Anolis sagrei: one gene and its partner. The protein of the gene in region 2 interacts with the protein of the main gene of each other region in a pairwise test. Links are inferred from orthologs where the notes say so. Each region holds a gene or a part of one and is shown on either strand. Other genes may lie near its edges.

What was found.
Region 1: the proteins of CFAP206 (region 2) and SOX30 interact in binary tests that used the Homo sapiens proteins (3 or more experiments, as listed by UniProt). The two-hybrid records come from large-scale screens. The link is inferred for Anolis sagrei from reciprocal best matches to the Homo sapiens genes CFAP206 and SOX30.

Annotation. Positions count from the first base shown.
Region 1 is NC_090022.1:80,320,078-80,323,994, reverse strand, and holds the start of SOX30 (transcription factor SOX-30), read right to left. Parts: upstream 3,096-3,917; 5' UTR 2,798-3,095; coding exon 1,945-2,797; intron 1-1,944. UniProt on the Homo sapiens protein: Acts both as a transcriptional activator and a repressor. Binds to the DNA sequence 5'-ACAAT-3' and shows a preference for guanine residues surrounding this core motif. Binds to its own promoter and activates its own transcription.
Region 2 is NC_090021.1:106,151,277-106,155,193, forward strand, and holds the start of CFAP206 (cilia- and flagella-associated protein 206), read right to left. Parts: upstream 2,330-3,917; 5' UTR 2,137-2,329; intron 372-2,136; 5' UTR 366-371; coding exon 258-365; intron 1-257. UniProt on the Homo sapiens protein: Essential for sperm motility and is involved in the regulation of the beating frequency of motile cilia on the epithelial cells of the respiratory tract. Required for the establishment of radial spokes in sperm flagella.

The DNA of each region.
Region 1 (3,917 bases), on a different chromosome or scaffold from region 2:
TCATAAACATATACAAGAACATGTTCATAATTATTGTAAGCAGAATATTATGTGTAGTTTTGCATGTTGCTGATAACTGGAGATTAAAAGTACTAATTTTCACTGTGCTTAGATAAACACCATGTGTCTGATGTAATCTCCTGGCAATGAGAAATGAGATACTAGGTAGATGAATATATGGCAGCCTTTCTCCACCACCCAACAAGGACCCCATCTTACAACTCACCTACCCCTAGAAGACAAATTCAACCATCCGCTTGTATGAGAGAAAGGTTATACTGTGAGACTTCGCTAAGGCTAAATTTGTTCTGATGCTATTGATTTTAAAAGCCATAGCTCCACCTTGTGTTATGTTTTTTGGTTACACTGCTTCCATATCCATGAGAACTCATTTTATAGTAAACCAAGATCCTCAATTCTACCCAGAGATGTATTATTACTATATCACATTGTCCCTTCAAATAAGAATTGCTGATTTATGGCAACCCTAAGTCAATCCTATCATGGGCTTTTCCTGGCAAGATTTCTCCTGAAGGCTTTGACCATGGCTTTCTTCTCAGGCTAAGAATGTGACTTGCTCAAAATCACTCAATGGGTTTCCATAGCCAATTAGACATCTGCTTCGGTTGCCAGAGTCCTAGACCAACACCCAAATCACTACACTATGCGGGCTGTCCCTGTAGGCCTGTTGTTGCTGCTGTGTCAGGTTATTTCTGATTTATGTCAACTCTATCATGAGCTTTCGTTGGCAGAATTTGTTCAGAAGGGAGTTACTTCTCTCTTCCTCCGAAGCTGAGTGAATGTGACCTGTCCAAGATCACCCCTGGGTTTCTGTGGCCAAGCAGAGATTTGAACCCTGGTCTCCAGAGTCACATTCCAATGCTCAATTTTATTTCCAATGCACAGAAGGACCATCCTGAATTTTATAGTATGTTTTCTATGTCAAATTTCAGATCAACCCACTGAGTCACTTACTCAGTGTTGTCAACAATACGTATAATTTTATTTATAATAGCAGGAAGTAATTCATCCATCTTTTCCACAACATAGACTGCAGATATGACCCTATAATAACACTTCTTCTTTAACTATGCACAATGTTACATTTACTCACTCAACCTAACGTAAATGAAATCACTATTCCCCCCCCCCCCCTCCAAATTTAACTGCCCTGTTGTATCTTTTTTTTCTTGGCAACTGAAGATAAATATTCCAATTCTGGTCAGAAAAAAAGTAGCACATTCCTATTGCAGTATTGTTACTGTTGAGATCAAAAGTTATTCTTTTCTGTAAATTTGTTTCTTTAACAGCTCTTCCAAATGGACAAAATACCATATTTGCTGCTATAGTTCTTGGTGTTTTGAACATGTTTGACAGTGTAGATGGGGCCTAGATGTTGTTGGACCAAGCATGAGCTAACTTTGGCCCTCCAGCCAGTGGGCTGTTAGGGATTGTAGGAGTTACGTCCAAAACACCTGGAGGGTCAAAGTCTGCTCAAGCCTATGTTGGACTTTAGTTCCCTACATTCCTCACTCCTGGCATTGCTTCTTAAGCCTGGTGGGAGTTGCAGCCTGACTGCATCTGGAGAGCCTCTTGGAAGGGTTTGACTCCCACAGTTCAATAAGTCCTAAAGATCAAGGTGATACTTGACACCTTGTGAATTGATGGCACTTAGTTTTAACTACTGTTGTTTTAAAATTGTAGTATTTTGATGTTGTGCTACATGTGTTGAGGAGGGGGGTTGTTATAATTTTATGTGACTTGTTTTATACTTTTGTACTGTTTTTACCGCTTGTATGTCCTATGTGCACGCTGGAGTGCCTTGTAAGCGGCCCTTTGTAAGAGTCCCTTCGGGGAGATGGTGGCAGGATATAAACAAGTTTATTATGATCAATGTATCAAGGTGGGGCAACCTTTCTTTCTCCATCCCTCTCTGCCCACTACCTGCATCTGAGGGCAGCACTGTGAGAGGCACATCTTTAGTCTCAATTTTGACGGAGGGCTCCAGCAGGGACTGCATTTTGAGGGGCACTTGGGTGACGGGCACCTTGGTGACCCGAATGAGCTCAGGCGGCGGCGGGCCCTGGAACTGGATCCTGGCCCCGGGCGGGACCGGGTGGAGCGTCAGCGGGATCTTCAGCTCGGGCGGCGGCGGCGGCGGCGGAGGAGGCGCCCCCGGGGGCTGGCTGGGCCGAGCCTCCTTGTGGGGCGCGGCGGGGCCATTGGAGGGCGGCCGAGGCTCGGGCCCTTCCTCCCCCTCGGCCTTGAGGCTTCCCTCGGGCGGCTCCTCCAGCTCTGTCTTGATGCCCGGGTCTCTGGCCTGGCAGCTTCCCGCCGCCGCCTCCTCCTGGGCGAGGTCCTCCTCTGCTTTGACGCTGGGGCTAGTCTCCTCCTTGGCGCCCCGACGACCCGCGGCAGCCTTGTGCTCCCCCCTTTTCTTCTTGCTGCCAGTGCTGCCGCCCCCTCCTCCTCCTGCTGCTGCTGCTGCCGCCGCCAGGAGCGAGGGGCTCTCTTGCTCTTCTGCCTTGACTTGCGGGCCCTTGGCCTCCTTCCCCTCGCAAGAAGGGCCGGCCTGCTGCCCTTGGGAGAGCCCTCCGCCGGCTTGGCCATCCTTCCGGGGCGGCGGGGGCGGCTTGGCGGGGAAGAGGAGCAGGGCGGGCGCCTCCCGGCTGGCCGGCCCGGGCAGAGGCTGCAGGAGGAGGCGGTCCAGGCGGGGCGCGGCGCCTTGCCAGGCCGCCGGGTGCAGCAGGAGCCGGGCCGCCTCCCGGGGGGTTTCCTCCGGCGCCCCTTTCTCCATGTCGCTCAGCGGGATTGTTGCGGGATTGTGAGCTCAGCCCGCCCGCCTCTGTGACCCGGCGCCCGTTTGTCTCCTGCGGTTGGCGGGGGGGCCAACGTTCTCCGCTCCGGGACCCTCCCCCGCCCCTCCCCAAGGCCACGCGCCGCCGCCGCCACCGCCGCCTCGCGGGACCCTCGCGCTGCCAAGGTGCGGGGCCACGTGCAGGCGCGCCTCCCTCCTTCCCTCCATCCTTGGACCCGTTGCCTAGCCGGCGCTATGGTTACGCCGCCCGCCGCGTCACAATCGGGTCGCCATGGAGACCAAGACCCCTTCCAGGTTCGCTCGCGCTCCTTCCTCTCCCTTCACAGAATCCTGGCGCTGGGAAAGAGGCCCCGAGGGCCATCCAGCCCAACCCCATTCCGCCCATCCAAGCACTCCCCACACGTGGCGCTCCAGCCTCTGCGTGACAGACGAAGGAGGACTATTAAAGCGATACAGGGCCTGGAACTTGGTATGTTTACCCTGGAGAAGAAACGGTTAAGACCAGTCATGATAGCCATGCTTAAAATGTGGAAAGATCTCTCCTTGAGGAGAGGGCATGCTTGTTTGCTGCTCCTCATATGGAGATTAAGGGCGTACTTAAACGGCAGCGGTTTAAAGAGCAGGGAATGTTTAGCCTGCAGAAGAGAAGGCTCGGGGTCCGTCCACACAGCCATATAACCCAGAATATCAAGGCAGAAAATTCCCACATTATCTGCTTTGAACTGGGGCCCCTTCCACACAGCCATATATCCCAAAATATCAAGGCATAAAATCCTACATGATCTGAGTGTGGACTCAAATAACCAAGTTCAAAGCAGATATTGTGGGATTTTCTGCCATGGTATTCTGTAAGAGCCCTGGGTTATCTGAACCCATCCTGCCATATATTCCAGTTCAACGCAAATAATGCGGAATTTTATTCAACTATGGAAGGGGCCTGAGAGGAGACATGATGGCCATGTATAATAAATATGTGAGAGGAAGTCACAGGGAGGAGGGAGCAGGTTTGTTTTCTGCTGCCTTTCCACACAGCCCTATATCCCAGAATATCAAGGCAAAAGATCCCACATTATCTGCTTTGAACTGAGTTATCTGAGTC
Region 2 (3,917 bases):
AGCAATAACAGTTAAACTGGAATGACAACACTTTAACAGTATAGTTTGATGATCTCTTAAATTCTGGATTCTTTTAAAATCCCAGATTGTTTGGAAAGCCGTGACTGTTATCTCCAGACCCCCAAAATACTGTCCACATTAGCACCACATGAACAGGGGAAACATGAAAAAGGCATGCCCTTCCCAACATGAGCAGCAAAATACTAGAGCTCGTGCATTTACACAATATCAACAGGTAGTGTCTGGACTGCTCTTACTATGAATGCCACCAGAGTTTCGGATACGATTTGTCCCTTCATGGCACATTCTTGTCCTATTTCACGGATGATATTCTTGATGACGTTCTCTGCTTGAGCGTGAGCCATTCTGCACTATTAAAAGGAGGATGGACATTTGTAAAAACACATCTGAATTTTCTTCACATTAGCTTTCACCAACAGTACTGTGGTTCCATAGTCATTTAAAGCCAAATAAGCCTTTAAGTTGTCAAAAAAGAAACGTAAAACCTAGTCAGGAGGGAGAGATAATTTATGGCTGTTTGCAAGGTTGATGCAGAAGGTTGCCTAAACAGCTTTTGTCTGATGTATGAAATCCATCTTATCCAGTGAACATGACTATAGTTGTGCTCTGACAATTTAATGGAAAGGACTACAGCTCAATGTTAGATCATCTGCATGACATGAAGAAGGTTTCAGGTTCAATCTCCAGGACTTTTACATAGTTCTGGCTCAAGAAAATTCCCATCAGAAACCTTAAGTGCAGTTAAATCAATGTGATTAGTTTTCTTCAACTCGGGTATGTCGAGAGTTGTAGTCCAACAAACTGAGAAAGATTGATTTGGATGATATGGCCTAAAGCTAAAGGTAAAGGTTTCCCTGACATTAAATCTAGTCGTGTCTGACTCTGAGGGGTGGTGCTCGTTTCCGCAGTCGTAACGATGAAGCTGTACCTATTGAGCTAATCACAGAAGTTGGGCCTAACAGCAAGAGCTCACCCTGCTCTCTGGATTCAAACCGCCAACCTTTCGGTCAGCAAATTCAGCAGCTCAGCGGTTAAACTGCTGTGCCACCAGGGGGCCCAGGATACGTATGTGAAGTTTGGCCCAATTCTATCGTTGGTGGGGTTCAGAATGCTCTTTGATTGTAGGTGCACTATAAATCCCAGCAACTGCAACATCCAAATGTCAAGGTCTATTTTCCCCAAACTCCACCAGTGTTCACATTTGGGCATATTGAGTACTCATGCCAAGTTTGGTCCAGATCCATCATTGTTTGAGTCCACCGTGCTCTCTGGATAAAGGTGAACTACAACTCCAAAACTCAAGGTCAATGCCCACCAAACCCTTCCAGGATTTTCTGTTGGTCATGGGACTTCTGTGTGCCAAGTTAGGTTCAATTCCATCGTTAGTGGACTTCAGAATGCTCTTTGATTGCAGGTTAACTATAAATCCTAGCAACTACAACTCCCAAATGACAAAATCAATCTCCTCTCCGCAAACCCCACCAGTATTCAAATTTGGGCATATTGGTATTTGTGCCAAATTTGGTCCAGTGAATGAAAATACAACCTGTGTATCAGATATTTACATTACGATTCATAACAGAAGCAAAATTACAGTTATGAAATAGCAGTAAAAATAGTTTTATGGTTGGGGGGTCACTACAACATGAGGAACTGTATTAAGGGATTGCGGCATTAGGAAGATTGAGAACCACTGGCCTAGTATAATTGTCTTTGGTTGTATACTAAAAGAGGAGGTTCTGCTCTAAAGGGTTTTTTGGTTCTTCTCTGAAAGGTTATATTCTCTAATATAAGTTATGTTCTCTAATAATTACAAACAGGGTGACTCCATGGTACTTGAAGGGGAATTATAGGCTGGATCTACACTGCCATATACTCCAGTTTCTAGACTAGGCCTGGGCAAACTTCGGCCCTCCCTCCAGGTGTTTTGGACTTCAACTCCCGCAATTCCTGACAGCGGCTACGGGGGAAAGAGAAAAGGAAAGGGCCTGAGACTGTTAGGAATTGCGGGAGTTGGAGTCCAAAACACCTGGAGGGAGGGCCGTTGTGTGCCCGGGCCTGGTGTAGATGCACCCAAAGACACGATGGTCCTGATGTAACTGAGAACTGCCTTACTCCGCGGGTCAATGCGGTGGAGTCCTGGAGATGTGGTTGAGTGAAGCCCCACTACTCTTGCGCTTGTCAAACGACGACTCCCCCGGCCTCTCCTGAGGCGTGAGCGGGGTTTGACTGGCTCTGTCCTGCGCCGCAGTCCCCAGCTCTTCCTTTCTTCCTTGGCCTCCCGCTTCTCAAGCAAGGCCTGGTCGCTCTCCGCGGGAAGGCCGCGTTGCCATGGAGACGGCGGCCGCTCCTCCAAGCGCCCCCCCCCCGCCTGAAAAACGCCCAAGGCACACACACACACACTCTCCCAACCTCAAACCATACAGGTTTTTGGGTTGGAGAGCAATAATACACCTGAACTTGGCCTTCCTTGGGATGTCATGCCTCCCTCTTTAAGTGCCTCGACAGGTTTCAAAAGCACTGAGAACTGACTGGTTCAAAGCTGAGAGTGTGTGACTTGTCCAAAGACACTCCATGGTGGAGGAGTAGGGATTTGGACTTCAGACTTTTCTCCTCACCAACATATTTCAAAACATTGAGGCCCCTTCCACACAGCTGAATAAAATCCCACATTGTTCTGCTTTGAACTGGAATATATGGCAGTGTGGACTCAGATAATCCAGTTCAAAGCAGATATTGTGGGATTTTCTGCTATGTTCTCAATTATATGGCTTTGTGGAAAGGCCCTGAGAGCCAGTTATCTTAAGCATCAGAACCTGGTTTCTTGAAATTACAGTTCAAAAACCAAAGATATAGCTGTCTTCAGAAGACTACTTTTAAAAATTAATAACAACGTTAATAACAACTTTGTATTGTCGAAGGCTTTCATGGCTGGAATCACTGGGTTGTTGTAGGTTTGGGGGCTATATGGCCATGTTCTCTAGAAGCATTCTCTCCTGACATTTCACCTGCATCTGTGGCAGGCATCATCAGAAGTTGTAGGGTCTAAGCCGAAGAGCTGGCATTGTCCGTAGACACTTCCAAGGTCATGTGGCCAACATGACTGCATGGAGCACCGTTACCTTCCCACAGAAGTGAGACCTCACAACCTCTGAAGATGCCTGCCATAGACGCAGGCAAAACGTCAGGAGAGGATGCCCCTAGAACATGACCATATAGCCCAAAAACCTACAACAAACCAGTGATTTCAGCTATGACAATACAAAGTTATTATTATTAACGTTGTTATTAATTTTTAAAAGTAGTCTTCTGAAGAGAACTATATCTTTGGTTTTTGAACTGTAATTTCAAGAAACTGGGTTCTAGGTTCTTGTGGGTTTTTTCGGGCTATAGAGCCATGTTCCAGAGGCATTTCTCCTGACGTTTCGCCTGCATCTATGGCAAGCATCCTCAGAGGTAGTGAGGTCTGTTGGAATTAGGACAATGGGTTTATATATCTGTGGAATGGCTGGGGTGGGGCAAGGAGCTCTTCCCTGCTGCAGTTAGGTGTGAATGTTTCAGCTGATCACCTTCATTAGCATTTGAAGGCCTGCCTGAGAAACTGGGTTCTGATGCTATAAATACAGTATAAATACAGTAAATAAATAAATAAATAGTTATAACTAGATGGGTGCATCTACACTGTAAATTAATGCAATTTGATACCAATTTGGGTGCCAGGGCTCAATGCTTTGGAATTCTTAGATTTGGAGTTTGGTGAGACACCAGCACACATAGGTTATTTCTTATGATCACCTCTATTAAAACTGGTTTCACGGGTTTTTGAAATATTTCCATATTTTTAACAGAACCCATCTATGTACACAACAAAGGCAGCAGCCTCTCTTTCAAACCAC